Tamandua tetradactyla: one gene and its partners. The protein of the gene in region 3 purifies or fractionates together with the protein of the main gene of each other region. This does not show direct contact. Links are inferred from orthologs where the notes say so. Each region holds a gene or a part of one and is shown on either strand. Other genes may lie near its edges. The genes, in order: VDAC1, RAB3GAP2, VAPA and FAM83G.

Evidence for each region.
Region 1: the proteins of VAPA (region 3) and VDAC1 fractionate together in Homo sapiens (co-fractionation; 3 studies listed by BioGRID and IntAct, with this or other methods). This does not show direct contact. The link is inferred for Tamandua tetradactyla from reciprocal best matches to the Homo sapiens genes VAPA and VDAC1.
Region 2: the proteins of VAPA (region 3) and RAB3GAP2 purify together in Homo sapiens (affinity purification with mass spectrometry; 3 studies listed by BioGRID and IntAct, with this or other methods). This does not show direct contact. The link is inferred for Tamandua tetradactyla from reciprocal best matches to the Homo sapiens genes VAPA and RAB3GAP2.
Region 4: the proteins of VAPA (region 3) and FAM83G purify together in Homo sapiens (co-immunoprecipitation; 3 studies listed by BioGRID and IntAct, counting the BioPlex papers as one, with this or other methods). This does not show direct contact. The link is inferred for Tamandua tetradactyla from reciprocal best matches to the Homo sapiens genes VAPA and FAM83G.

What each region holds. Positions count from the first base shown.
Region 1 is NC_135346.1:13,052,840-13,059,763, reverse strand, and holds the start of VDAC1 (non-selective voltage-gated ion channel VDAC1), read left to right. Parts: upstream 1-3,920; 5' UTR 3,921-3,939; intron 3,940-3,951; exon of another isoform or gene 3,952-4,044; intron 4,045-5,367; exon of another isoform or gene 5,368-5,455; intron 5,456-6,924. UniProt on the Homo sapiens protein: Non-selective voltage-gated ion channel that mediates the transport of anions and cations through the mitochondrion outer membrane and plasma membrane.
Region 2 is NC_135330.1:80,027,949-80,034,903, reverse strand, and holds the start of RAB3GAP2 (rab3 GTPase-activating protein non-catalytic subunit), read right to left. Parts: upstream 3,002-6,955; 5' UTR 2,880-3,001; coding exon 2,765-2,879; intron 1-2,764. UniProt on the Homo sapiens protein: Regulatory subunit of the Rab3 GTPase-activating (Rab3GAP) complex composed of RAB3GAP1 and RAB3GAP2, which has GTPase-activating protein (GAP) activity towards various Rab3 subfamily members (RAB3A, RAB3B, RAB3C and RAB3D), RAB5A and RAB43, and guanine nucleotide exchange factor (GEF) activity towards RAB18.
Region 3 is NC_135344.1:73,602,690-73,610,542, reverse strand, and holds the start of VAPA (vesicle-associated membrane protein-associated protein A), read right to left. Parts: upstream 3,004-7,853; 5' UTR 2,776-3,003; coding exon 2,697-2,775; intron 1-2,696. UniProt on the Homo sapiens protein: Endoplasmic reticulum (ER)-anchored protein that mediates the formation of contact sites between the ER and endosomes via interaction with FFAT motif-containing proteins such as STARD3 or WDR44.
Region 4 is NC_135332.1:2,152,041-2,159,940, forward strand, and holds the start of FAM83G (protein FAM83G), read right to left. Parts: upstream 3,001-7,900; 5' UTR 2,929-3,000; intron 2,247-2,928; 5' UTR 2,129-2,246; coding exon 1,601-2,128; intron 1-1,600. UniProt on the Homo sapiens protein: Substrate for type I BMP receptor kinase involved in regulation of some target genes of the BMP signaling pathway. Also regulates the expression of several non-BMP target genes, suggesting a role in other signaling pathways.

The DNA of each region.
Region 1 (6,924 bases), on a different chromosome or scaffold from region 3:
CTTTTTCTTGGAAGAAAACTTGTGCCTTCACTGGGCCCACCTGGGTAATCCAGGATACTCTCCTCATCCCCAAATCCTTAAAAGCAAACTCATCTGCAAAGACCCTTTAGACATGTGCTGTAACATACTCATAGGTTCCAGAGACTAGGACGTAGACTAGGATGCAGCGGGTTGGTTAGTGTCTTCCTGAAATTCATATCCCTCGGACCTTTAGAATGAGACCTTCTTTTCTTTTTTTTAATTGAGAAATCTTCACACCCGTGCATTCCACACTTGGTGTACAATCGATGGCTCACAATATCATCACATAGTTGTGTATTCATTACCATGAGCGTTTTTTTAGAGAGACTTTTATTTGGAAATAGGGCTTTTGCAGATGTAATTAGTTAAGGATCTGAGATGAAATCATCTTGGATTTAGGGCGGGCCCTAAATCAGTCTTCCTTATAAGAGAAGACACAGACATGTCAAGATAGAGACTGATGGAGTGATGCGCCCACAAGCCAAAGAACACTTCGGGGTTACCAGAAGCTGGAAGAGGCAAGGAAGAATTCTTCCTAGGAGCCTTCAGAGGGCGCATTGCCCTGCTCATGCTTTGATTTTGGGCTTCTAGCATCCAGAATTGTGTGATGATACATTTCTATTGCTTCAAGTCGTCCAGACAATACATTTCTGTTGCCATACTTTGTTACGGCAGCCATAGGAAATTAGTACAACAATTTTATGGGGGGGGGGGTGTGTGCCATTATTCTCTACGGCAGTTCACCTCTACATTTTTAATGCTGTGGTTGCAGTAATACTGAATATAAGATTGCCTTCAATTAACATTGTAGCAGGATTTTTTTCCCATGTGAAGTCTTTGTAACCATATTTTCTCAAGGCTGTGAATGAGATGTGCACATCCATCCCAGGGAGGGGATGTGCTTCAATTTGCTCAAGCTGGAAACCAGGCTGTATTCCATCCTGGACTACTATACATCGTTTTGCAGCTGGCATTTCCCATACTTAGAATTATTGGGTGCACAGATGGTTCAGTGCTAGAATGCTTCCCAGCATGCGGGAGACCCGGGTTCAATTCCCAGCCCACACACCCCAAAACAAACAAAAAAACCCATGACCACCTATTCTTACGATTATTGCTTTCGCGCAGCCTCTCGTGGGTAGAACGGACTTATAATTCTTATTACTTATCGCCTAATTGCTTTCCAGAAGATTGTATCTATTTATACAAGCTCTTTGGCTTTTCAAAAATTAAATAAAAAGTTCTTTATTTTTATAATGATGGTATTATACACTCATTAAAGAGTATTTGGGATATATAGGAAAGACCAAAGGAAAAAAATCATTCATAGTCACATAAATTGAAGCTACAATTTTTATTAATATTAAATTTCTTTCCATTTTTTCCCTCTTCTCCTCCTTTATATATACATAATTTAAAATCCAGGAAGATGATGTTGAAATTTCTTTGAACTATTTTAGACCTGGGACGTCACCAGTTGTTGCATACGGATGAGAAAATTTTTTATTGTCCTCATCTTGGGATGAATTCCATCCTGTTTCCCCAGTTGGTCACTGCTCTCCACGTCACTCAGAACCTGGGTGCTGGGTCCTTGCTCGGATGATGAGGGTCAGAACACACTATGGGATGTGTGAGCTGACATCCTTGACCACAAATCCTCAATTCTGACTCCTCCTACCCATATTCAGGTCTGATGACTTTTCTGGAAAACGGTCAGAAAGGTTAGGTTTTATAACAATTCAGTTTTGTAATAAAACTAATTGATGCTGGTTACAAGCAGAAAATTTTTTCTCTTTAAATAACCATTTATATAAGTTGCACCTTCCATTTCTGCCTTCACGGAGCTCATCCATGGACCACGCTAAGAAATCATGTTGTGGTACCAGGACCTTTGGCCCTGAAAGAAGGGTGCTGTCTCGGTTTGCTAACGCTTCTGGAATGCAATATAACAGAAATGGATTGGCTTTTACAAACGTATTTATCAGGTTACAAGTTTATAGTCCTAAGGACATGAAAACGTCCAAATTAAGGCATCCAGATAAGGATACCTTAACTCTGAAAAAAAGGCTAATGGTGTCCAGGGTTTCTCTGTCACAGGGGAAGATACATGGTGACATCTGCTGTCCTCTCCTGGCTTCTGGTTTCAAATGTCTCTCTCAGCTTCTCATCTCTCCTGGGGCTTCTGGCATCTTCTACATTGCCAAATGTCTGTGTCTGGTTTTAGATCTCTGCTCTCTTGTCAGCTCTGAACTCTTCCTCTCTGTGAGCTCCTTTAAGGACTCCGGTAAAGAATCAAATCAAAAGGTCACACCCTACAACAGGTCCGCTCCTACAAGACTGGATTAAATAACACTGGCTTTTCTGGGGTACATGATAGTTTTAAATCAGCACAGGTGGGAAGGGGTCAGGTTCTTAGGAAGGTGATTGGCTGCTCTCCACCTTGATAGATATCTTCAGTAGAAGCCCTATGACTGCTAGATATAAGAAAGAACTTCCTTACAATAAAGTATTCTTACTCTGGTAACCCATTTCAATGTTAAAAATAAAAGAAAGATCTTCCCTGACTGCTGTACTATGTTTTGTTTGAAGAGAGGAGAACTGAATTAGGACTTGGAAGAAAACTCAACCCAAGGTGGGCTAAGCAAAAAGGGAATTGATTGGCTCAGGTGGCTGGAAAGCACAGGGTGCATCTTTATACCTGGCTGGCTCCAGGAGCATCATGTCCCCAGGACTTGAGCTCTGCCTCTGTCTTGTGGGCTGGCATCACTTTCAGGGGAAGTCTTTCTCTCAACAGCCCTGAGAAAAGTCTTACTGGTCTCGTTGGTCCCTCCCTGTAGCCAGGGCGAGCAGTACTGCACTGGCCAGGGCGAGCCACGTGGCGACCTGAAGAATGGCCCTGGAGTCAGGGATGCGGTGAGCTCCATTGCAGCTTGTGGACTGTGAAGAGGGGAATAAGGGTCATTTGCCCAAAGAAAAACTGTGGTCAGGGCTGACTAGTCCCCACAACCCCCTTCAGTTACCATCTAGGAACTCAGGTGTTCTGCTGGGAGAACTGCACCCTGGCCGGGTCAAGCTCAAGGAGTGTTATCGAAGTGGCACAAGGAAACCCAAGGACAGGAAGAAACACACTCTGACTTGGGGTTTCTTAGCTCACATTTGCAAGAGAGGACCTGATGGCTGGGCCCGAATTAGATGCCCACCCCAATGCCAATCAGCTGTGGCAGGGAGGGAGGAGGTGTGGCTAAGGTGTGTCTGTGTGCGTGTGTTATGACCTGGTATAAAAGACTAACTTCACAGGCTTCGTGAGACCTAGCAGCCAACTGCTTTGCAAGAAGCAATTTACTTCTTTCATTTCTCAAATACCTGGAAAAATAGCTGCTAGGAGCTTTGCTATGGGGGAAAACTGCTAATTTGCAGTGCAAACGTGGTGCACCGGAGAGTTTTCCCTGAGATTTCACCTGGTCAGAGAAGGCTCTGCATTTAGGTACCAAAGTCTTCAACGCCCCTGCCAGTTCCAGCTGAGTTTCTTCAATGTTTTCTTGCTACATGTCTCATTTTAAGCTTGCAACAATCCTCTGAAGTTAAAGCTCTGAGAGGTTGGGCTCCTTGCTCAGAGTCCCACAGCCACTAAGTAGTTCTGAGAGCATGCAGGGATTAACCTGAAAGTAGCACCTAGGGGAGCTGTGGAAGGGCGTCAGGGCAGGTGGGGGCAGGTTAAAGACCCTAACAAGATGGGGTGGTGGGGAACATACCAGGGGAGAGAAAGCATCTCAGACAATTTCTTTCAGCTTCACAGCTGAGCTCCTATGCTAACCAGCGCAAGGTTTCTCAAGCCCCGCCTTCCCTCAGGGCCACCTGGTTCCGCTCTGCTTCCCTGAAGTCCTTCCTGGCCTGCGGAACTCTGCCTCGCTGTGCACTGTGAGTGACTCAGCAGCTTTCTCTGCCCGCCCCTCTCTGGGAGTGGGCTGGGACCTGTGTAGGGACAGCCAACTTGGCAAGCCTGAGGCTCCAGTTAGCAAAGAGGTAACTCACTGGCCTGGAGAGGGGCCTAGGCTCTGTTCTCCCCTCCCCTCCCTAGGACCCGGAGGGGCTCTGAGCCCCCAAAAGGCCTAGGGCTGTTGTGTATCAGTTCCCATCTTTCTCACCCCCTTCCCTCCATAGGAACACCACTTCTAACCCGAGTTGCCGCTTTTTCTATTGAATCTGCCGCCTGCTTGCTGGCCCCAGCTGTCGTCTGCTTTAGCGGATGCCACAGCTGCCCGTGACCAGCGCTCTGACTCTGTAGCTCTGCTTCTCCAACACGGCGCTCCAAACGCTGTTAAGGACATTTACTGGCCGAAGGGGAAGGGTGCGCAGAATCTCCACGAGTTCATCAACCCTCGAAGTCTGCGTGGGAAAGGCTCCCGCGGGACTCTCGGTTGGCAGCTTCGGTCACTACCCGCTCGAAGTCTAGCGGGGAGACGAGCGTCATTCACCCCAGGCACATTGTACCGCGGGGAGGCCGGGCCCAGGCTGGACGCGGGTCCCCCGCGGGGCGCTCGACCGGCGGGTGGGAATGGGCGGTGACATTCGCGCTTAGTAAGACCCAGCAGTCGCCATCCTTGTAATATGCAATTTACTTCTTTCACTCCTCAAAGGCCCGGGAAATGGCTGCTAGTAGCTGTACTACAGGGGAAAACAGGGGGAAAACCTGCTAATTTGCAGTGCGAACTCCGTGCCAGGTGGAGCCTTCCCCGCGATTCGCCCCTGGACGGGGAAGGCTCTGAGAATCGGATGCCGCTTACGGGACAGTCAGAGGCGCCCGAAACATTGTGTCCAGATCGCGGAGCCGAGGAGCGGCAGTGGCGGCCGCCGGCCCGGGACTAACCCCGACGTTACACTCCGCGCGGGTCTGTGGGGGGCACGTGGGGGCCACCCCTCCCACCCAGGCGCCGCCTTCCACGTCAATTCCCAGGGGGAGCGTCTCTCCGCAGCCCCGCGCGCCTTTCTTTAGCGCGGGAACCCGGCTCAGCTAACCGGAAGACCCCACCCGGCGGGAAATTTCCAGGAATGACCGGCCCGCTCGTGCGGTCGCTACGCATGTCCCCGAGCACGCACACACCGTGCGCACGTCGGTGCCATCCCTCCCCGTCGTTCCGTGCACGCGTGCACGCAGGCACTCACGCGCGCCCACACACGCGTCCGCCCGGGGCTTGGAGAAACCCGCTGAGGTCAGAGCGCAGCTGGGGGGCCGGACGTAGACCTGGGCTGGGGCCTGGGAGGCGGCCCGGGCGGGACCTGGGGGCGGAGCACGCCGGGCCGGGTGCGCAGGGTAGGGGCGGGTCCGCGCCGCCGCCGTCGGCGCCGCCCCGCCCCGGCCCCGCCGCTCGCTCGGTTCCTCTGCGCCGCAGCCCCCGCCGTAGCCGCCGCCGAGCCCGCCGCCTCCGTCTCTGAGGTAGGCGCCGCGGGGAAGGGCTCGGTCTCCGCCTGCGCCGGGTGCCGCGGGCCTGGGCCCGGGGGAGTTGGGAGGGCGAGATGGGGGAGGAGCGCGCGAAGGCCAAGGGCCTAGCAGGAAGCCCGAGGGAGAGTGCGGAGTGGCCCCTGCGGGCCTGGCGGGTCAGCAGCCGGCCGAGGAGGCCGCGCGGTCGGGGGCCCGGCGGACCCGGGCGGGGTGCTGAGGCCGGGGGTCCGGAGCCGTGGGCGCTGCAGAGCACATGGGGGCGGAAGGGCACGGGCGGTCGCGTGGAGGCCCGGCCGGCCGCGGGTCTAGGTGACCTTCCTTCGCGGTGCCCTCTGGCCCTCGAGCCCGCCAGCGCGGGCCGGGCAGGGGCCTGTCCGCCGCCCACGCGCCCCAGTTCAGGCCCGAGGCCTGCGCGGGCCACGCTGCCGCCCTGGTGATGAGCCGCGTGTGACGCCTGCTGCCCCGCGCCCCTGGCCCGGCCCGACCCGCTCGGCCCACGCCCGAAGAAGCTGGCGTGCGGCGCGGCTCGCGCGTTCCAGCGCCTTTCCTGGCAGAACGGGCGGCCGAGTCGACTTAGGCCGCAGGGACAGGGGCTTGGGCCTGGGCGGGGGCGGGGGGGGGGGTAGGCCTTGGAAGAAGAGGCCGGGAGCGGAGCCGCGTGGTTGCAGTGGCCTTGAGAGGGATTCCTGTCTCGGTCGCTCATTCATTCACCAAACGCGGCGGGGCCAGACTGTGGATTTGAGACCCGCAGCTCAAGTGATTTGCCCAAGGTCACACAACTGGGAAAATACCAGACTTCAGTTTTTTTTTTTGTAAAAAGGGAGCAATTATGTTTCTCCGTCGTGGGGTTCTTGGAAGAATAAAATGAGGTGGTTAGTAACGCGAAGCTTTCAGGACAGGGCCTGGCACTGAAATAGCCTTGGAAAAACCGTGACGCTAGCCCTTGAGGCTTTTTGGGAGGATGCTGCAGAGTGCTTTGCTCCATAGTAGTAGTCTGGAAAGAACTCAGTAAATGTAGCCCCTGTGGTTTTTTTTTTTTTTTTTTGCATGGGCTCCGGGAATCGAACCCGGGTCTCCAGCACAGCAGGTGAGGATTCTGCCACTGAGCCACCGTTGCCCCCCCTTATAACCCCTGTGATTTTAAACATAGTTATTGCTGTATTATTAACGAGCGTGTGTGCCAAGGCACTGATTAAATTTCAGCAAAATTCACAAAAAATCCTGTACCTGTATAGATTGATAAGGTCGGGCCGGGGCAGGAAGCTTGAATGCAGAGGTGGACTCTGTTTAGCCTAGGTCTGTCACATCTGAGGCCCCCATCCTCTTGACCAGCGTCCCCCAGAGGGAATAAGGAAATGGGCGCCTCCTTTGCCAGGGCAGACTGCCCGGAGCCTGCCTTTTTTTCTCTTTGCCTCAGCCCTCCACTGACTGAGCTCCTGCAGGGCATGGTGGGCCCCATGCAT
Region 2 (6,955 bases), on a different chromosome or scaffold from region 3:
AAAATTAAATTAAATTTAAAAGTCAGTTCCTCTGTTGCACTGGCCAGATTTCAAGGGCTCAATACACACATGCGGCTAGAGGTTCTCATACTTGACAGTACTAGATATAGTGATGTAATAAAGAAATAAAAGAGAGCCACAAAGTCAGTGGGGTAGAACTGACTTTAAAGAAGGTCAGAAAAGATCACCTGGAAGAGTCAATATTTGAGCTCAAATTTGAATGACAAGATGCAGCTGAGGCTGCAAAGATTTGCGCAGAGTATCCAAAGCAGAAGCAACAGCAAAGGACTCATACAAATAAGCTTAGCTGTTTCAAAAACAAGAAGAGTGCCTGACACAAAAGAAAGATGAGGCCTAAGAAATGGCAGGAGGCAGAATCTCAAGGACCTTTTAAGCTATGTAAGAACTCTGGATTTATATTAAGAGCAATGGAGAGCTATGGAGGGTCATAAACAGGGAAATGTCATCTAATTAATGTCTTAAATAGTCACTGTGACTAATTTGTAATAATTACAAGGAACCAAGAGTGGAAGTGGAGGCCCTGTCAGAAGACTGGTACAATAGCACAGGTGAGAGAAGATGATTTGGACCAGGGGAGTAGCAGGAGGATAGAGAAAATGTGTTCCTTTTCTCTAAATTCCCTCTATCTACATTCCTATAAATCCTCTCCTTGACAGCCAAGCTTCTTAAAACAATCACCTTCATTTTAACTCCTCAAACTCCTGCAATATGCCTTCTACCCCCAACATTCCACTGAAACCGTCCTAGGCCCCAGTCACTTCCAACATTCCAAAGTCAAGGAACACTTTTCTATCTTTAACTCACCCGGCTTTTCTGCTGCATTTACAACTGCTGACCACTCCTCACCTTCAGCAAATTCTCTCCTCCCTCAGCACCTGGAATGTTACGTTCACCTGCTTTTCCTCTCTGATCCTCCTCCTTCACCTTCCCAGTAACCTCTACTTGACCCTTAAAATTCAGTGCTCCTCGGAGGTTCCAACTTCAGGGCTCGGTTCACTTCATGGTATATATAATCCTTGAGAGACTGAACTGACACTTCTTTGCTTGTAACTCCCAAATTAAAAGCTCTGGTCCTGGATTCCCTACCAAGTTTCAGACCTCTATATCTAATGTTCTATTTGAACTCCTCATTTGAACAGGCCAAAACATTTAAAATGCAAAGGGTCCAAGTCTGTCTTCTTCATTGTATACCCTTGCCAAAGTAAAGGAATGCTAAACTCCTTCTCACTTACCAGATACCTCCCCATCCTACTCCACACCAGACCTTCCCTAGGTAGGTCCTGCAGATTCTACTTTCTTAATCGCTCTCTAATCAAGACCTGTCCTCTCAAACCCTGCTGCGGCTATTTTAGTTCAAGCTCACATCCTATCTTTTCCTAGGATTACTGAGAGCACCTCACAACCATCTCCCTGTTTCCTCCACACTGCTGCCAGGGCTCATAATAAGTATCAGTAAACTTTTGTTGCTTACACTAAGTACAAATCTAAGTCTTTTTTGGTTTAAATCTTTCAGAACACCCCACAACTTTCACAGGACTCCCCATGATCTAGAGTCTTACTAACTGCAGCTTTCCCTCCCACACTCTTCCCCTCATCTTCCTCTCCACCCATGCAGCTTTTCTTAGCTTTCTATATATCACTTCATTTACCTCTGCACATGCTATTATCTCTCCCTTATTCATTTAACTACAACTTAAAGGTAAGGCTTAACCATCACAACTTCAAGGGAGGCTTCCGTAGCACCTCACATATATCTCAATCATATTATATGGTAACTGCTGTTTGTTTTCCCCACTAACCCTACTAGAGGCCAGGGACCTCCAACCTTATTTGTTTAAATAAACATTCAGAATGGAAATATGAAGAAAAACACAGAAAACATTCCTTTGCAAAAGAGAAATGCAGGAAATTCTCAGGAACGCAGTATCTAATAAACCAGCCTTGGAATTTTATATTACATTCAAACAAGCAAGTGTTTATTGAACACAACTGGATGGCGATGAGTGAAAGGTTTTTCACGTCAATAAAGTAAATCAACTTTTCTCGGTCATATTACTGTAATTTATGTTCCTGATGTAAATTCTCATTCCTCTAAACTAACAGGTTATTCTCCTTATTTGGGAGACACTCACCGCCTTAGGAGTCATCACTTGGCCACCATTTATTCTCTAAATCTGAATGGGGTAAAGGGAATAGAAGAACGGCGAGGGTGGGCCGATAACGACACTTTCAGAAGGGAGGTGGCAGAAAGCCACAGCCCCGGGAATGGAGAAGCCTCTGGGTTGGAGTGCTGCCAGGGTCGTGCGCTGACAGCTGGCAAGTGATGGGGAGAAGGATGTGACCACGGAGGGGTCGGTAAGGAACAAGAGACCCTGGGTTTGAAGGGAGGGGGAGAGGAAGAGGAGACTTGGAGAGAAAGCTTGGAGTAGGGGGTGGGGAAGCAGGCTAGGCAGAGGCGAGAGCAGGAAGCAAGGCGCAGCTGTTGGCCAGAGGGCGAGGCGGTTCCGGACAAAAGCTGAAAAAAGCGAGCGAGCAGCCCGACGCCGACAGTCCGACGGGGCTTGAAGACGCGGCGGCAGGAGATTATCAAGGAGCGAAGGGGGAAAGGGGGGAGGCCCGGAGGCCCAGAGGGCAGAGGCGGGCGGCGCAGGGCCGGACAGAGACCCGAATCCCTCAAGCAAAGGCCGCGGGCGCGGCGGGGGTGGCCGACGGGAAAAGGAGTGGCCAGGTGAGGGGCACTTACTGGGGTCCCTCCGCACTCCACCGCTGGGGGGCTCTTCCCGCAGGTGAGGGAACAGGAAGTCCCGGGCGGCCTGGAGGTCCTGGAAGTAGCAGAACTGGACCAAGGAGCAGGCCATGGCTCCAGGAAACCGCGCTCTGGCGCTGCTTCACCTACCCACGACCCCCAACACCCCTCGGCTACTCCCTCGGTGCCCGGACAACTCGGGCCACGCAGGAGGCGGGGAAAGCAAACCGGAAGCTGTCGGCGCACTCCCCGGCTACCGCCCCGGAGCACTGCGCGTGCGCAAAGCGCCGAGGCCCGCCCCCCGGAAGGCGAGGTCTGAGTCACGTGACAAGAGGGCGTCCTTCCCGAGGGTCTCACGTGGACGTGACGGCTGGGAGCAGACGTTCCGTGGCCGTTCTCCGCCTACGCCGGGAAGTGACCCAGGAACACAGCTGTTAGCCAGAGTTGAGCTCCCTGGATGGTGGCCACAAGAGCTTTTGAGTCATTCAACCAGTCTTATTGATGTCCTGTTATTGGCACGATCGTGATAATTCACAGAAAATAATTCGGGTTAAGTCAATGACAGTACAGTGGGGAACGGTATCATACAAGTATGGAATTCTAACAAGACTGATTTATCTTCCGGAAACCAATTCCATCCAGACTGGCTTTAAATGACCCACCTATAAATTCCCCTAGTATTGTGCATGCCCGATATGGTGTGTGTTGTACTGTGTTATATACTCTGGTTGCTTTTTCATTTGTTCGTTCATCCATCCATTCAACAAATGTTTGTGGCTAGTCTCTTTATGTCAGCCACGCAAGGTGCTGAGTGTAGAGCAGGGAACAGAACAGATGAAGTACCTGTTCTCGTGAAGGTAAAATTCTAGTGACTGACACAGGCACTAAGCAATTAATGGAAATTAAATTAAAATTAAAGGAAATTCTAAGAAATGATGATCATACATCTATGTGATGATGTTAAGAATTACTGATTGCATATGTAGAATGGAATGATTTCTAAATGTGTTAATTTCTTTTTTTCTTTAATTAATAAAAAAAATTAAAGGAAATTGTGGTAAAGTTGAGAAAGAAAAGTCTGAAGTGTTATGACGGTATAACAGGGAGGCCTGCCTAGTTGCTTTCGCTTTGTTTTATTTGTTTTGATTTGATTTTGGCGGGGGATGTCAGGATCAGGAACAGATTTTTGTTGTTGTAAAGTACTGGAGGGTCGGGTTCTCATTTAACTCTACCTTGTATCCCTAATATCTAGCATAGGGCATGCTGCATAGCCAGTTCTCAATAAAAGTTTGTTGAAGGAATAAATGAAATGGAATCTGTGCATGAAGTAAAAACCTCTTTCCTTTACAAAACTCTTTATATCTTTTAAAGTACTTCCTTGTATATTGTTCCATCATATGGTCACATTGCCTTTGTGAAACAATGTATATTATCCTACTTTTTTAAATGAGGAAATTGATCTAAGTGTCTGAGAGGATTCTTGAACCCATTTAAGTTATTTTTCTGAAAAGTAAAAACCAAAAAAGAAATTACTTAGTACAAAGGACTATAAGCACTCATACTCTTCGTAAAGGAAACCTAAAGAGATAATCTACTTTTTATGAGAGAGAAAATCACACAGGGATAAACTGCAGGCAAATAGATGGGTCTGGAGCATTCTTTTCTGTCAAGCCTGTGTACACACTTAGTCCTATTCACATAACAACTATATTTAATACTTAGGTACCTACTCCATTAATTCCTGTTTGTAGAAAAAATGATTTTCACAAAAGAATGTAGATAATTTTTAAATTGGGTTACAGGGTTGGATTATATGTCCTATTACAGGTTGGATTAGAGGGTCCTCTTTAGCATGAGGGCTCTGTAATTCTATCATCAAAGCATGCAGAAAGGCAAGTTTCCAGTGTTCCTTTTTTCCACCTGAAAAAATGCAGTGCTTTCTTAGATCACCACTCCGTAGAATAATCCAGTTCTGATGATGATCCCCTAAAATATGTGCAAAATACTGAACTAAAATAAAATTTAAATTTAGATCTTTAGCCTTACTGGATGAATAGGAATACAGGACACTTTTTAGAAGAAGACAGTGTCATTCCTTGACAATCATTCAAGTCCCTCTTCAGGTAAATGCATCTTGTGGAAATAACTCCCCATGGCTAATTCTGCTGCCCTTTGTTCTGCCTGGAAGCATTCATTTATTTCTGATGTGGCAGTCATTGAGTTTCATTATTGCGTTAGCTCAGTTTCAATGGTGAAGTCCCTGACGTCCTTCCAAGAGGCATTGAAAAGATTCATTCATGAATGTTTTTAAGGACTTTAAGATACCCTTCACGGAAATTATGAAGCATGAACTGAACTCAGCCTTCAGGAAGTTGTAAAGCTACAGGGGCTGCTTCTGGAGTTCTGCTGCCATGGTTCAGGGGAGTGTGGGAGGATTGTGTCAGACAGTGAACCTCGCCAACTACAGTGTCTTTAGAAAGGACTTTGCAGAAAACACGCAAGCTTTATATATCCCAGTGTAGACAGTGTCTCTCTGAGGTGTGAGCTCAGGAGTTAGGAAAAGGGTTTTGTCCAAAATAATAACTGGAGAGTTGCTGACACTATCATGGAATTTCTCCATTATTCATTATTAATTTAGGTCATTAATTTGAGAGAGGCTTTCTGAGGATGTTAACATCAGGTCCTTGCTAATCTTTAACAGCACCCCAAAGCCAAAGGGGTCGAGAGGCAGAATGGGAAGCAAAGTGTGAAAGAAATAGCAACAGACTTGGACTCAGGAGACTTAGGGCTGTCCCAAGTTCTGCCACTAATCAGGCTCATTTATGTTGCCTTTCTGGGCCTTATCTTCTTTGATCTATAAAATGAAGAAGCTGGGGGCCACGGTGGCTCAGCAGGCAAGAATGCTCGCCTGCCATGCCAGAGGACCCGCGTTAGATTTCCGGTGCCTGCCCATGTAAAAAAAAAAATTCAACAAATGGTGCTACAATAGCAGGATACTCACATGGAAAATAATGAAATGTGACCCTGCCATACAGCATACAAAAACAAAAAAAAAGGCAAAAAAAAAAAAAAATGAAGAAGCTGGGCTCTAAGGTCCATCCCAAGGATGTGTAGATTTTGAAAGGAAGGAAAAAGTCTGGTTGGAGTTACCCAGAATGGTTGGAGTAGCCCAGAAGGAGTAGATTATGCAGGCACCCCATTAAGAGTGCCAGGTGGGAAGGGGTGAACTTGAAGGCACAGAGCATCTCTAAGTGAAAGAAAAAAGAGCAGAGAAAAGGGAATGGAAGGTCAGTGAATCTTTACCTGATGGCTTTGCTGAAGGTCATCCTTGTATTGACGTCTGTGAAGACAGAAGCAAGGGCTATATACAACTAGTTTTTATTCAATAAAGATCTATGAGCGTTCTCAGCGAGCAGCTGCCGCTGCCGCCGCCACGTGCGGGGCTAGAATTCGGAATCCCTGCGCCTCGTTAACAATGAAGCAGAGTTCGAACGTGCCGGCTTTCCTCAGCAAGCTGTGGACTCTGGTAGAGGAGGCCCACACCAACGAGTTCATCACCTGGAGCCAGAATGGAGAAGTTTTCTGGTTTTGGATGAACAAAGATTTGCAAAAGAAATTCTTCCCAGGTACTTCAAGCACAATAACATGGCAAGCTTTGTGAGGCAACTGAATATGTATGGCTTCCGTAAAGTAGTACATATCGACTCGGGAATTGTAAAGCAGGAACGAGATGGTCCTGTTGAATTTCAGCATCCTTACTTCAAGCAAGGCCAGGATGATTTGCTGGAAAACATTAAAAGGAAGGTTTCCTCTTCAAAACCAGAAGAAAATAAAATTCGTCAAGAAGATTTAACAAAAATTATAAGCAGTGCTCAGAAGGTTCAAATAAAACAAGAGACTATTGAGTCTAGGCTTTCTGAATTGAAAAGTGAGAATGAGTCACTTTGGAAGGAGGTGTTGGAATTACGAGCAAAACATGCACAACAGCAACAAGTTATTCGAAAGATTGTCCAGTTTATTGTGACATTGGTTCAGAATAACCAACTTGTGAGTTTAAAACGTAAAAGGCCTCTACTTCTAAACACGAATGGAGCCCAAAAGAAGAATCTGGTTCAGCACATAGTCAAAGAACCAGCTGATAATCACCATCATAAAGTTCCACACAACAGGACTGAAGGCTTAAAGCCA
Region 3 (7,853 bases):
TACAACACAGTGAGCCCCAATGTAAACTATGGACTATAGTTATATTATAAATACTATAAGTATACTTCATCAATTATAACAAGGTACCATGATAATGCAAAGTGTTGATAACTGCGAAAACCGTGTACACAAAGGGGTATATGAGAACTTTATTTTCTGCATAATTTTTATAAACCTACAACTTCTCTAATAAAAAGAAAAAGGCGGGGGGGAGTATATGCCAAGCATTCTTTCACATCAGTGAGTTTACTCAACCATTGTCTTTGGCCATTCTCCCCACTCCCTACCACCCACCTACCATAGCTAGTCTCTTCCTTTAAGGCTTCCTACTCTAATGTGAGGAGGAAGTAGAAAAGAAGCGGGGCCCTCTTTTCTTATAGATATGTTTGTGCCTCTGTTAGAGCATCTTCCTGCCTTTTTTGTCTCCCTGATTAGTCTTGGAAGTTCTTCAAGGGCAAAGACAAAACCTAACACATTTTACTGTTTTTTAATTGTATGCCTTCCCCATTAAACTATGAACTAACCATGGGAATCTTTTCTCTACCTTGATTAGCAATGACTCCCCCAATATAAGCTGATACCTGCTGAATGAATTACTCATTGCTGAACATCATTAATCAAATGTAGTCATCATGTAGGGTTTGGGGTTGTTTTTTAACCTACTATTATTTCTTTTACTATGACAGCATTACAACCACTCTAGGAAGAAACCTTCAAACTGTGGACAATTCCTGGCCTAAACTGGTTTTTAAATGCTTCTAACCCAACACACTGGTTATCAGATAAAGGAAATGTTCTCTTTAAATTCAGGCTGTCAAAAGACGAAAACAAAATATTTAAACTGCAGAAAGAACACACATAATAGTTTACATTAAAATTCCTCAGCTTATGATAATCGATATTTGAGTTAGATAATTTTTGGATTCCTCAAAAGTTTTTTTTTCAGCTAAAACTATGGAAAGTCATGCACTCACTGCACCTCAAAATACTTCTTAGAGTTGTCTATAAAATCAAATCCTTACCTAACAAGCAACTCACATTACCATTCAAAGAAATTTACAAATGTACTAAGAGAACTGCAAAGTTAAAAAGTTATGCAATACTCTCATAATTCCAGAGTGAAAGAGAAAAGAACTTGCTAAAACTATTCCAAAAAAATTTTTTAATTTAAAATTTTCTATGGAAAAATGATGTATTTTTTCCTTTTGGATACGACCTTATACAACAATAACTTCTCTTAACGCTGGAACTGCTATACACCTTACAAAATTGTAAGCTACTGAAACTGAAATACAAGATAACGACTTCCAAAAGGGAGCTCACTCTATACTTAGGATAAAAGAGTCTACTCAAGAACGTCACAATCTTTCAGCAGTTCTTTTAAAAAAAAATCCACAAATGTTCATTTTTTAATTTCCTTCCCTAAACTACCCTCCGTCTACATACTGAAACGCAAACGGACGAAATAGCCCCCGGATTCCTCAAGCACCACTAAGTTAGACTAGTAAGTTTATCGTGGGTGTTGCTGCAAAAGAAATTAATGACGTTTACGAAGCCGAGCGAAACGTTCACAGCCTTTTCACGGTGAAGTGGGAAACCGCAAATCCAAAGGCAAATGCCACAAACTGAAGACTCCGCAGCAGAGACGCTCAGCTCAAGGGCTAAACTGAACCGGAGTAGACAGGGCTCTGCACGCAAGGTAAACTGAAATGCCACCGCGGACGGGAAGCCCCACCACCAGGACGCTCCCACCGCAGATCTTCAAGTTGGCGCCCAGCCTTCCTCCCCGCACGTCATTTACAACGAAACCAGGTAGGTGATAACCAGAAGAACTCGGGGCTCCCAACGCCTAACAGGAGAGTTATTAACTCAGTCAAGTCGAGCAGCAACACCCTCTCCGGGCAAAAGGCCGGCTGTACCCGGCGTTCCCCCGGGATGCGGACGGCGGCAGGAGGCAGAGGGACCGTGTCCCTCCGGGGCTGGGTCGCGAGCTGCGGCCTCGATGCCGAACCTCCCGCCCGGTGGACAGAAAGCCACGGGTGCAACTGGCGCCGCCTCACACGCCCTTTCCCCCGTGGACCGCAGCGCGCTGCTCTCAGGTCGCTGCCCGCCCGCAGCCTCCGAACGGCCCGGAGGTCAAAGGGCCAGCGGCGGGGACGACCCGGCCGCGGTGGGGGAGGTGCACCCCGAACCCAGAGGAGTACCCCGAACCCAGAGGAGTACCCGGGGCCAAAGGGAGCACGTCGAAGCCGACCGGGGGTAGCACCCGGGTCGGGCAGGGAGGAGCACCTCCAGGTCAGGCCGAGGGGGACAACCCAAAGCGGTCGGAACGGGAGGAGCACGCAGATGAGACCGCCAGGGACACCCCAAAGCGGCGGGGCCGGGAGGACCACTCCGGAGCGCCCGGCGGGCCTCAAGATGGCGGCGGCGCGGGAGCCAGACCCGGCCGGGAGCGGCAGCGGGAGCAGGCCGGCCCTCCCGCCCCCGGCCGGCGCGCGCACCGAGGAGCGAGGGCGGGGAGGAGGACCGCGGAGAGGGAGGCGGCGGGGCGGCGAGTGCGCCCGAGCCGGAGGGCCGCGCGTGGGGGAGGGGACGCCGCACCCGTCAGGCCAACACCCCGCGCGCCCGCCGCCCCCTGGACCCCACGCCAAGCCCCCGAGGGGAGACAGTCGTCAGCTCCACCGCGCGCTGCCCACCTTTAAATTTGAGGTCTGTGGGCGGGTCGAGGACCAGGATCTGCTCGTGCTTCGCCATGGTCCCAGAGGCGGACGCCATCGGAGACAGCGCAGAGCGGGGGCGCGCCCGCGGCGGCGGTTTGCCGGCGGGGGCAGGGAAGGCACGGGCTTGGAGACGCTCTACGGCCGAGCCCGGCTCCGGCTCCCAGCTCGCCTCCGCCTGCCGCCCTGGCGCTGCTGGGCCGGCCGCCGGACGGGTCAGCAGCTCCGGTCTCGCAACTGACTCAACCCCACACCAGCCGCCGCGGCCGCGCGCACTGCGATCCCGGCGCCCCACGTGACGGGCTGCGTGCAGACGTGCGCGCCCCCGCCGCCTGCCGCTCGGCGCTCACCCCGCCCCCAGACCCGCCCAGCACGGCGCGATCTCGATGCGTCTGCGCACTGCAGTCCTCGGCAGTGGCCGGAGCCCCCGGGCCAGCTGTCAAGGGAACGGGCGTGGTCAGGGGCGGCGCTAAGGTTTGTGGGAGGAAACGGGGCGCCCCGTGGTGCTAGAGGAGCAATATTCTCTCGCGTTAGCTCCGATTACGAAACAAGAAGCCTTATGATGGTCCCGCATCACCGTCTTCCAAGTGGCAATGCCTGATGGAAGGAAGGAGACGGAAGGCGCCGGTGAACTACAGTTCCCAGCAAGCCCTGCGTGGGGCGGAGCCTAAGCGCGGCCGGTCCCTGGAGGCGCAGCGCGTGGTGCCTGCTGGGAAGTGTAGTGTGCGTGGTCCGCGGGCGGGAAGAAGCGACGTCCGTTGAAGGCGGATGGGTGGAGCGCGCTGACCCTGCTTGGGGCTCCTGGGAGCTCTCGACCGCGCTAAAAAAGAAAAACAAATGCTTTGGAGGCTGATGAATAATATGAAATCTACCCTGTGGAATACAGGCCGGGGCTTATCAGTTTACTGTCTAAACCCATCCATCCCTGCACGGGAGAACTTGAGTCTCGGTCCTGTTCCCAGCCAGCGTCTCCGGCTCTCTGGATTCTCTCCAGAAAGGGCGAAATCACGCGGGGGAAACGCCCTCGCCACCTCATTGGGGACACTGACCGGGTACACACGTCAAATGACAAAAGTCCGAATGTACAGCGCTGCTGCTCCTTGGCTGCGATGAATGATAGCTCCAAAGCAAAAACCGGCGTCACGTTCGCTAGGAACGAATTCGCCTGCAGCACCCACGGCCGCCTGTAGTAAACTGAATAAGGAGGAAAATGCCAGCAGCAAAGTTGCTGACACATCTTCAACCGGTTGCCCGCGTGGTGGCCCGGGACAGGACCATCAAGTGAAACAAATGAACAATGTGCTGTAAATAAACCTTTGCAGTGCATCCTGAATTTAAATTCCTAGGAAGCGCCGCAAAACAAAGGACACGTTGAGGCTACTGCGATAAAGGACAAGCTAGGTTTGTGTGGAAAATAAATGAGACGAATGGAACAGTCGTCTAGACCCAGGCTGACCAAGGCTTCGTGTGCAATGCGGAGGAATAGCTGACCTAGCGTTCGCTGGAGCCTGCCCCACAACCAGAAAGAAGACCGTGGGGGGATTGGAATGCTTATGTAGTTCGAAAAGCATATTCTAACATTACCTTTCCCTTGATTTCTTTGTATTCACAAAAGGTATTTTTGAAAATTTAATTATTAAAGGAGGGTTACCAGAAGTGTATGTTTATCAAAAAGGAGCTTAATGTTTAAAAAAAGGAGGCGGGGGCTTGAGGTTGGCAGTCACTCCACTGGATGGTGTCCCACATTTGTTTAGTTGTAAACTGATGTTCCCAAAAGGTTTCACTAACTACAGTTCCTTGCTTGCCTTAGAACCTCTCCTGGGTTGGCAAGTTAGCGGAGGGAACAGAAGCCTTGGCTGAACTGGCCCCTAACCCCTCCACAGCTGGATGGAATCTCTCTTTCCAGAAAGCCTTTGGAAATTCCCAGTGTGCACGCACCCAATTAGCAGATAAAGCATGCTGAGGAAGTTCCCAGTCACTCCCCTATGGGACACTGATTTCCCACCCACCAAGTGTAACTGACTGTACCCCAATTTCCCAGTCTGTATCATTAGGAAACCTCTGTCCATCAAAGCATCCTCCAAGTGTGTCCACAGTTTTCCTCTTTCCATCCATATTGCTTCCAAATCCTATAGGCATAGTCTTAAAATCTATACAAATCTGATATTCTAACAATACATGAAATGCCTTGGGAATAATTCCCCCATGACTGTTTTAAGGCATTGCATTCATAATGACTCAGAGCCCCCAGAGAATTGTCTACCCCTCATCAAATGGTGCTCTGTTTAAGTGGTTTATTCTTTGGGATTTATTAACACCTTCTTCTAGCAGTTCAAAGAACTATACAAACATCATTACAGGCTACTCAGGACAACCTTGCAGCAGTTGGAAAGGGTTAATTTGGTTATTAAATATGGATATGAAAACACAGGTGAGGGCCTCTCAAGCCAGTACTAGAGTCAAACTTAAGGGGTAAAACAAAACCCTATTTTCCATCCTGTGCATTTTTGCTCTTCCCAAAGCCACAAAAAAAGTGACAATGCTAAGCAATTAAGACAGCAGTTTAAAATGCAATTGACTTATCTGTTAACATTTAAACTAGGAACAATGACAAGTTTGGCCTCAGGTTTGTTCTGTTCACTTAGAAGTTCAGGTTTGTTCTGTTAGCAAAACGTATATATACTTCCAAGCCCATATCTTTAAAGACCACTTTTTAATGTGTCTCAGAGGTACGAAGGCCTCGATTATTACTTTGGTCTATTTCTATCACCAGGAGTGTTCACCTTTGGACAGATTATCTCTTAGGAGCTTGGCAAAGATCCACAAAAACAGTTTCCAAAACATGGTAAAAAGTATAACCATCTCCATAGTTAAACATATTACACTTTACTAAAGAGGTGCTCTAGAATATTTAATTTGTTTATGATCAATTCCCTGAGTAGGTCAATTCCATAAATGCTAAAAAGGACTTGCTTTCAATAAATACTGTGTCACGCAAGCACACAGGCTTTGGAGCTGAACTGTTAGATCCAAATCCCCTTTTCCACTTTGTGACCTTGGCAGCTTACTTCACCTCTCTGTGCATGTTCTACATCTGTAAAATAGGGATAATAACAGCTGAACCGCTGTACAGCTTCATTAAGAGGATAAATGAGTTAAGGCACAAGAAAGCTGAATGCAGTGCCTGGTTTGGGCACTGGTACTTTATCAATGTGGAACACTAATTTACTGGTATTGTAACCCATGTCCTGCTGGCAGAGGTGCCAGCTGAACCCCGATCCAAGTTCCATAGTCTTTAAACTAAAAGAATTCAGAGATGAGAGGGCCAGTAGGCATAAGTAAAGTTTATTGAAAGAGACATTTATTAGAAAGAGAGAGTACACATTAGAGAGGTTAATGCAGGTGTGCCCACAGAAGGGACATGCCCTGAATGGAGTAGGCCAGCTTGTTTTTTGTTTGGTTGGTTGGGTGTTTTTTTGCCTGGGCAGTCATCAGGAATCAAACCCGGGTCTCTGGCATGGCAGGCAAGAACTCTGCCACTCAGCCACTATTGCCTGCCCCCAGCTTGTTTTATAGGAAAGTTTTACCAGTGGCAGGTTTCCACAGTGACCTTTGAATAGTACGTGTCTTCTTTGTTCTAGGAGGAGACAGCTAGCAGAATTAGTGGTTTGTTGTCACATACCTGAAATTTGTCTTTGGGCAAATGGTTAACAATCTTTATGACATTGTGCTTGCTATTATTAACTAAGAGTTTGCTTTGGGCCCAGAATTTTACAAGTTTTTATGGTTTGAGGAGGTTTCAGTAGTTTTGGGAGGTTTGGGGGCGTTTGGGAAATTTTTGTTGCAGGAAGTCTGCAGCTGAAGTTTGCAGCTCTGTATAAGTTCTTTTGGAGTTAGGTAAGAAACAAGAAACTTGCAGTTGTCTGTTAACTCTTTCAGAGTTGAATAGGAGACCAGGGACTTACAGTTGTCCTATTTTATCCAGCTTCATCATGTGCCTTGCACCAAGATGCTAATGATGTACCAATGAACCCATAGACACGACCTTGTCCTTAAAGGCTGACACTCAAGCAGGAGAGACAAATATGAAATAACTAATATTGCAATTATTTTATCTAAATTGTGGTAAGCACTAGGGCTCAGAAGTCTGATGTTGTGCAAATAGGTCTGGGGTTGGGAAGAGCTACCTAAGGAAATGACAAGGCTGTGTTCTGAACGATTACTTAGTATGCAAGGCAAAGGGCACAGTATAAGCACGGTACATTCTAAGTCATTGAAAAAAAGGCCAGTGTGCTACAGTGAATAAATCTGGCAGTGAGCAGCAGACGAAGCCAGAAAAGCCAAGTTATGTGGCTTATTTTAGGCCATATTAAGGATTTGGGTCTTTATCCTAAGAAAATGGGAAACCAACCAAACATTTCAACTATGGAGTGAAATGGTCTTTAACATACCTCTGAGCTACAGCATGGAGGTTGGATTAGAAGGAGTAAGAGGAACTATGGGAAGAGCAATTGGGACTATTGCTGTAGTTCACATGGCAGGATGGCATTGTAGAGGGTAGGAGTTTGAGCCACAGTAGATGCCCTGGAAATGGGGAAAACTGGATGGATTTCAGAGCTATTTAGGGAGTAAAATCAATAGGGTTCAGATATGGATGGATTTGGAGGGTGGTGAGAGAAAATGAGATCTAGAGGATGTTTCCCCTACTTCCAGCTTGTGTGGGTGGATAGATGAGGTGCCATTTCCGGAGAGGACAAGCTTTTGTTGTTGGGAGCTGGGAAGGGAAGATCACAGGTCAATGCAAGATGCCTTGGAGATAAGCAATGGGATGTTCTCATTGGAGCTCAGAGGAAAGAGCTCTGGGCTGAAAATTAAATCAAGTCCTAAACATGCATGGGAACTGAAGTCATCTAAATGGATGAGATCACCTGATACAGATAGAGAAGCAAAGAGAGCCTTGTACTGTTTGGGGGAGCTGCAATTTTTAAATACCTCCTGTTTTAGTCTGCGAGCTGCCGGAATGTGATATACCTGAATAGATTAAAAAGGGGAATTTATTAAGTTGCAAGTTAACAGTTGTAAAGCTGTGAACAACAAGAGAGTACCTTAATTCAAGAAAGGCCAAAGAAGTTCAGG
Region 4 (7,900 bases), on a different chromosome or scaffold from region 3:
AACCTGTGGGACTTTGGGGGGGAGCTACAGGGGACCCCTGGGACTGCACAGAGCTGCTGGGCCCTAGCTCCTGCCGAGGCGATGTGGGGAGGAGGCCAGGGAGTCAGCAAGGGAGCCTCGAGTGCCCAGCCTGGCCCCGGGCACCCTTATCAGGCCCCATCACGGGGCCAGGTCACCTGTTTTTCTGTCTGGGGAAGATTAGATGCCTCTGGCCAGTTCCCAGGCAGTGCTGGAATCTGGTATCTGGTGGGGCACAGAGGTGGAGAGGGGGGTATCCCTGGGGGGGTGCAGCAGATCAGGCTCCGTCCCCCAGGGCCCCAGTTTCCCCATTTTTATGGGATCCCAACAGGCTCTCCCAGGGGACTGGGTTCTGCGAGCTTAGGCGTCAGTGATGCCTTCCTACCCCATGGCACGAGTGGGGTGGATTATTCAACCTGAGACCCACGAAGGTCGAAGGTCACTGCCCCTGCCTCCCTTCCCCCCTCCTTCTCCCCCTCCTCCTTGCCGGCACAACAGCACAAAGAGGCAGCTTCTATCCTCACCACTCCCGTTTTACAGACCCGTTTTACAGACCCGTAAAACCGAAGGTCCCAACTGCCTGGAGACTCCGGTGAGTCGGGGGAGGGGCAGGCCAAGGGCCAGGTTCCCTGACAAGGTTATCTGCCTTGGGGCTGTCCTGGAAACCTAAGCCACTTGTGGCCTCTGCCCAAGGGCTCACTCAGGTCTGTGTGTCGGCCAGGGTGGCCCAGAGCCAGCCTTCCAGTGAAGGTGAAGGGGGTAGCCTTGGCGAGTTAATACCTCCTCCGTCACGGCCTGAGGCCAGGGCACCCGCTGCTTATCAATCACTACTCAGACTGGGCTTCAGAATCCTTCTGAACACAGCCTGCTAGGCGCCTCTGTCAGCTGCATTAGGAAGTGCTCTGCATCCAAGGAAAATCACTTCTACTCAGAGAAAGAAGCACTTGCTCATGGTTACAGATGTGGCAATGGCTGGGCTGCCTCGCATCGCAAATATGTGTGAGTGGGGTACAGCCACCCACTGGGGCCCCTGCATAGCCTGCAGGGGCCAGGAAGGGGGTTCAGACAATGCTTGAGTTCCCTTCCGATGGTGAGATTCAACTCAGGTGAACAAGACTCAGCTGCACTTACTCCACCTCCCCAACACTCCCTGCACTTCTCCCAGCCCACAGAGACTCTGTTCTTGTCAGGAGGCTCAGAGAGGGTGAGCACCTCACTTGCAGATGCCCAGTGCAGCCAGGAAAGAGCCAGCTGTGAATGAGGACCTCCAGGCCAGCCTCAGAGGGACTCAGCCTCCTCTCAAGCTCTGTGACTACCCCTAGCCCATGCTCTCTCCGGCTCCCCATGGAGGCAACAGCAGGGGGCCCTGCTCCTCCTGGGGTGGGGGTGGGGGGTGGGAGGGGATGGTCAGAGCCATCCCAGGGGAGAACCAGTGAGAGAAAGTTCACCACCCCGCCGTCACCCCATGTCTGGGGAAGCTGCTGGCCAGGTCCAGGGAGCCTGGTACTGCCCCCCAACAATGCACAAAGAGCCATCAAGCCCTCTGTCACCCACTGGAGGACCCCTGTCAAGGGCCCCTCACCTTCTGGGCCTGGCTGATCATCTTTCTCACCACCTCCTTGATGTGGGCCTGCCCGTCGATGGGGGGCTGCATGTAGACCGTGGCCCGGGTCACCCCCCGGTAGGCGATGGTGTCAGGCCAGCCCAGGTCCAGCTGAGGGATGGAGCGGTCCGACTTCTGGGGCCAGTACTCCAGGGAGGGCAGCGGCTCCGCCTCGGTCAGGGTCCCGCCGCCCGCCCCGCTGGCCCCCTCGGCATGGCCGCCCGCGTCCCCCTCCTCGGGGCCCCCGCAGCGGCCAGCGGCGCGCGGGTCCTCGGAGCCGGGGTCGTACACCTGGATGGTGTCCAGGATGCGCTGGAGCTCGGGCTCGGAGAGGAAGTCGCGGATGTTCTCCCGCTGCAGCACCTCGCGGAAGGCGTCGGGGCCGCGCGCCACCAGGGCCTCCAGCGCCAGCCGCTGCCCCTCGCTGTAGAAGAACTCGGGCTTGGCCTCGCTCGAGCGCCAGTTCACGTGGCCGTCGTCCAGGCACTGCACCTGGGAGAAGGCCATGGTGCCGGCCGCGGGCAGCCGAGCCCGGCGGGGCGGGAGCCTAATTCCGGGCCCCGGCGGGGGCGCACGGCGCGCTCTGGGGCCGCCCGGCTGCCTCTGCGCCTCTGTCCATAGAAACCTGCGGGGAAGACCCGGTGAGGGCAGGGGCCGGGGGCGGGGCGCGCCGGGGCGGGTCGGGGGCTGGGGGGGTGGGGGCGGGCTGGCGTGGGGGGGTGGGAGGGGCTGGGCAGAGATGGGGACTGTGTGTGTGTGTGTGTGTGTGTGTGTGTGTGTGTGTGTGTAGAGGGTGAGAGTGGGGGTCCGAGATGGGGACTGTGTGTGTGTGTGTGTGTGTGTGTGTGTGTGTGTGTGTAGAGGGTGAGAGTGGGGGTCCGAGATGGGGACTGTGTGTGTGTGTGTGTGTGTGTGTGTGTGTAGAGGGTGAGAGTGGGGGTCCGAGGCCGGCGCGAGGGGACCCGTGTGCCTGGGTTTTGGGGTGCCAGGGGATTTCCGGAGCTCCCCGAAGTCTCAGGCAACTTCCAAGGGAAATGAGGGCAGGCTCGGGACTTCCCAAAGTTTCCAGGATTTGGGGAGCAAGAGCCTGAACTCTGGGGTCTCTGGCCTGGCCCAGCGGGCTCCGCATTTCTGGGCGCTCCTGGGAAAGGATCTCGAGATCCCAGGGTGCTAGGCATCGGAGAGCCGTAGGGCCTTCCTGGAGGGGTCCGGGGCCGGGGGACGGGTCTGGGAGCCCCGGAAGGGCGGCTGGCCGGCGGCAGCGCCTGGCGGGGGGTCCCCGGGGGTCGCGGGCGGGGTTCACTTACCGGCAGGAGCTGGCGCGGGCACAGAGCAGACTGGAGGGGTACCGCGCGGCGGCTGGGCGCGGAGGCGGTGGCGGGGGGCGGGCCCGGGCCACTGTCGCTCCGCCCATCCCGCCGGCGGCCACCTGCGGTCACATGCCTCCGGGAGGCGGGGCCGGAAGCTGATTCACCGGCAGACGTTGGGCGGGTGTGCACACCTTCTCTTAGCTGCCCCACCCACCCCCGGTGCGGGCAGCCCACGGAGCTCGGGGGTCCAAGGGCAGGAGCTCCTCGGAACACTGCGACCCAGAGAGGGTCAGTGCGCTCCCTGAGGTCACACAGCGAGTCGACGGCCTTGGAGTCCCTGCTCTGTCCCCAGGCCTTGCAAGTGGGACGGGAAGGCTGTGGGGGCTGTGTCTGCCTTGGGAGCCCCAAGGCAAGAGTAATGCAAGGTCTGGCTAACCAACCAGGAGGGTGTGTGGGGGGAGCTTTAGCTGTAGGATAGAGCAGGTACCAGTTCTGAGGCCTGAGCCCTCGGGGAAGGCGTCACCAGGGACCCTCCCCAACCCCGAGGGGGGCGGGGCACAGGCTGTGGTGGGTTGGGTGAGGCCCGCCTCTCCGCAGGCGTCCCCAGGGCTTGGGGACCCTGGTTATGGGGGCGGGGGCACATTTGAAGGCAGGCTGCCAGGGTGGGGACGCAAAGCCCATTAAACCTGGCCACCAGGTTCGTTGCATGCCACAGCCAGTCAGCCAGGCGCCGGGGCAGCCGCCCCCCACCCCCACCCCAGGTGCCTTGTATCCAAGCAGGGCTCAGGCCTCTTGGATCAAGGGAGGGGATGGGGGCCTGTTCGGTGAGGGTGGGAGACCTGGTCCCAGGTCCAGCAGTCCTCTGGTGTGTCCCTAGGACTCCAACCTGAGAGCACCGCACCCCAGGTTTGAACTGGAGTCGGACCCTCCCTGCCATCCACTGTCAGGCTTCTCCTCCTGCACACTCTCCTGCCCCAGCACCCCTGGACCCAGCACCTGCAACCTCTCCTGCCCCAGTGCCCCTGGGTCCCCCTCCCTGACCTCCAGTCTCAAGTCTTCCCTGCCACTCGGCCCCCTCCCAGGCCCCAGGGGTTGCTCGCTATCTCTGCACTCGGCAATAACCTGTGCATAGGGAGAGATTAACAGGAAGTTCTCAGAAAATGAGCAGAGGGGTCCCTGACCCCTCCATCCAGCTCCCCAGCGGTCACAGCTTACATAACTAGATGCAACATCAAGCCAGGAAAATGACCTTGGCACAACCCACAGACCTTATTCAGATGCCACCCATCTCCCAGGCACTCATTTGCGTGTGTGCGTTTGTGGAGTTTGAAGCCATTTTATCACATTTGTAGATTTGTGTAATTATCATCACAGCCCAGACATGGAGTTGTTCCTCTACCACAAAAATCTCCCTCGTGCCCCTTTAGAGCCATCCCCCCGTCTCTCCCTCTGCCTGCCCACAGCCCTAATTCCTGACAACCACTAATTTTCCCTCCCTCTCTATAATTTTGTTATTTCCAGAGTGTTATATAAATGCAATCATAAGTATGGAAACTTTGGGGATTGGCTTTTTTTTTTTTTACCCCATCCACAGAAGATTCATCCTGGATGTCGCGTCTGTCATTATTAGATCTTTCCTTTTCATTGCTGCATAGTATTCTGCGGTAAGATTGACAGACTGCAGTTTCTTTAACTGTTCGCCTGCCAAAGGACATTTGAGTTCTTCCCACGTGGGGCTATTACATATAAAGGTGCCGTGAACATTCCAGTACAGGTTTTCTCTGGGACAAACGCCCAAATGTGTGAGTGCTGGGTCATCCGATAACTGCCTGTGTTGTTTTGCTTTGTTTTGTTTAAAGAAACTGCGAAACTGCTCTCTAGGGTGGCTATATCATTTTACGTTCCCCCCAGCAATGTTCGCATCATCCAATTTCTCCACATCCTCACCAGCATTGGGTGTTATCCCTATTTTTAATTCTAGCTATTTTGATAGGTGCAGAGTGACGTCTCATTGTGGTTTTAATTTTCATTGTCCTTGTGGCTAATGATGCTGCATGTTTATTTCATGTGTTTATTTGTCATGTGTATGACATGACACCATGCCTCTTTGGTGAAATGTCTGTTCGTGTCTTGTGTCCATTTTTTAACTGGATTGTTTGGGGTTTTTTAGAGTTGAGTATTGAGAATTCTTTATATATTTTAGAGAGATGGCCCTTGCCGGGTCTGTGGTATGAAGAGATTTTCTCCAGGCAGTTAGTTTGGCTTTTCACCCTCCGCGCAAGGCCTCATGCAGAGCTAAAAAAAAGTTTTTAATTTTGATGAGGTCCAATTTATCAACTTTTATTTAAGGATCATGCTTTTGGTGTTAATTCTAAGAACTCTTTGTCTAGCCGTCCATCTGAAGATTTTTTCTGCATGTTTTTCTTATTCTAAAAGAAAAAAAATTGACCCGCTCCATTTTGAGTTAATTTTTATATAAGGTGTGAAATTTATGACGAGGGTAATTTTTTCTTTTTCTGCATGTGTGGCCTACGGGTGTCCACAGAGGATTTTTACACGGGAGGGACCAGCCTCGGAGAGTTTAGAGAATCAGTCGGATCACACAGCTCTGGAGGGGAGAGCCGGCCTCAAACCCAGGTCTGCTGGAGCCTTTGGCCTGGCCCCAGCGGCCTCGGGGATGGGCCGACTTGTTGGGGGAGAGGAGGGCAGGCAGCCCACCACCCTCCCCACGGCCCACCCTGGGCCTCCTTGGGAGAAGATCATTCAGTCAGTCAACAAATGCTGACGGAGGTTGGCTGTGTCCAAGACCCCAGAGTCGTTGTGGTGGGGGAGACAGGACAGACATGGGGCAAGAGCTATGGGTGCCGGGTCAATGTTGCTCTGAGGCCCTGGGAGCTCAGACTCGCCCCGTGAGAGGAGGAGAATGAGCATACATGCCCTGGGTTTGCAGGCTGGAACGGTGTTCTGGGAGTGGAACCAGCAAACACAGACGCCCAGAGGTGGTGGTGGAGGTGGCAGGGTGAGGGTGCTGGCGAGGGTGCAGGGATTTGAATGCATGCGGAGAGACTTCAGTGCCATCTGCAGGGGAGGGAGAGCCCCAGAAGGGTTGTGAGCTGGTGGTTTTAGAATTCCTGCAGCTGAGTCGAAGGCTCCTGGTGGGCAACAGAAAGCTGCAAGGAGCTGGCACGGAGGCCCCCGGGACCGAGTGCAGTGGCTGACCTTGGGTTCTGGCAGTGGGGATGGAGGACATGGGCAAGGAAGGGGCAGCTCCCTGGCTGCTGGTGGGGGCCCTGACCGGGTGGGGTTGGATGCAGAACCAGAGCCCCATGGGAGAGCCCCCAGGCCTGCACGCCCAGAAGACCCTCCCCAGCTCCCCAGTCATTATGGCCTGTGGGTGCTCACGGCTGAGCTGGCAAACCCAGGGAATTTTGTTGAAATGGCAGCAGGACCCGCAGCCTCTGTGAAGGAGGAGGTCCTTTCTTTCCCTGCGGCATGAACATGAGCTGGCAGTGCCCAGGGGGCGGTGCCCAGTGCCAGGAGTCAGGAAAAGGCTGAATAAACTTGGGAAGAATCTACTGACTCGGGTTTTCTGAGCCATTATGTGGCTGCGATGCCTCACCTGTCCCTCCCAGGGCCAGAGTCAGCCTGTCTAGCTCAGCGCCCATCAGGAGGGCCCAGTGGCCTCAGATGCCTGTGTGACCTGGGCAAGTTGTGCCCCTTTTGGCCCAGAATCCCCCACTTACAGAACTGGCAGGGTGGATTTAGTAGTGTCAGGCAGCTGGATCAAACGGTACCTGAACTCCTTCCTGGCTCTCTCTAGGTTCCTTTCTCTCTCTCCTCCTCTCCATCCTCCCCTCCATTCACTCACTTACTCACTCATTCATTCAATAAATGTTCCCCAGTGTCTCCGCTGGGCCCAGCCCTGGGCTGGGCGATACCAGGGACTCACGATGATTCAAACTGAGTGTCTGCTCCTGGGGAGCTCGTGGGGTGGTGGGGGAGGTGAAGAATGTAAACAAACAACCCTGATTCAGCCCTGGCCATGCTCTGCTGGAGCGCAAGGAAGGAAGCTGCCGTGCTTGGGGTGGGGGGAGCAGAGGTCCTCAGAGGACAAGCCCTTTGCGACTGGGCCTGGACTTCTGCCATAAACAAGGGTGGAGGTGGGCATTAGGCAGGCTGGCCCAGCGGGATGGGGGGTGGGGGTGGGGGTGGGGAGGCGGCAGAGTGCTGGGCGGGCAGGCGTGAGAAAATGCAAGCAGGTCAGGGTGGCTGGAGCCTGGGGCCAGGATGTGAGGGGCTGGACCAGGTGTCAAGGGCCTTGAATGCCCTGGAAAGTTTCCCCCACCTCATCCCAGGGCGCCAGAGGCTCCAGGAGCAGGGGGTGGGAAGGAGGTTCTTGAGTTGTGAGCCCAGAGAGGGTGGCCTGGAGAAGAGGGGCAGGGAGACCGGCATGAACTGGGGTTGCAGCAAGAGGGGTGGAGCCCGGGCAGGGGACAGAGGGGAGGTGGGTGGGGGAGCTGCAGGCTGGGGGACAGGCAGAGGAGGTGGGGAGGTAGGAGGGAGGCTGGGTGGGGTATCACTGGGACAAGGCGGGGAAGGAGGCGAGGTCCTGCTTGGACGAGCTCGTGACACACTGGACAGGAGATTGGGTGGGAGATGAGGATGGGGCGAAGGTGGCTGTTGCAGCCCCCTGTTGGGGGGAAGGGGTCTGAGATGGGCACCCCCAGCAGGTGAGGCCTCCCAGGGGGAGCTTTCAGAAGGGGTGCAAGAAGGGGGCAGCGCCTAGCCCAGGGGTGCTGGGCTGCGGGTTTGCAGAGCATAGCCCCAGGAGGGACAAGTGAGCCTGAGGTGGCCGCTCTCCCTTGCGATTTTGCTGGTACAGCAGGCAGGGCCCACCCACCACCCCCAGGTCGTGGCCCCTGGTCACACTTGGGGAGCAGCAAAGGGCCACGGGAGCAGCAGGTGCTGA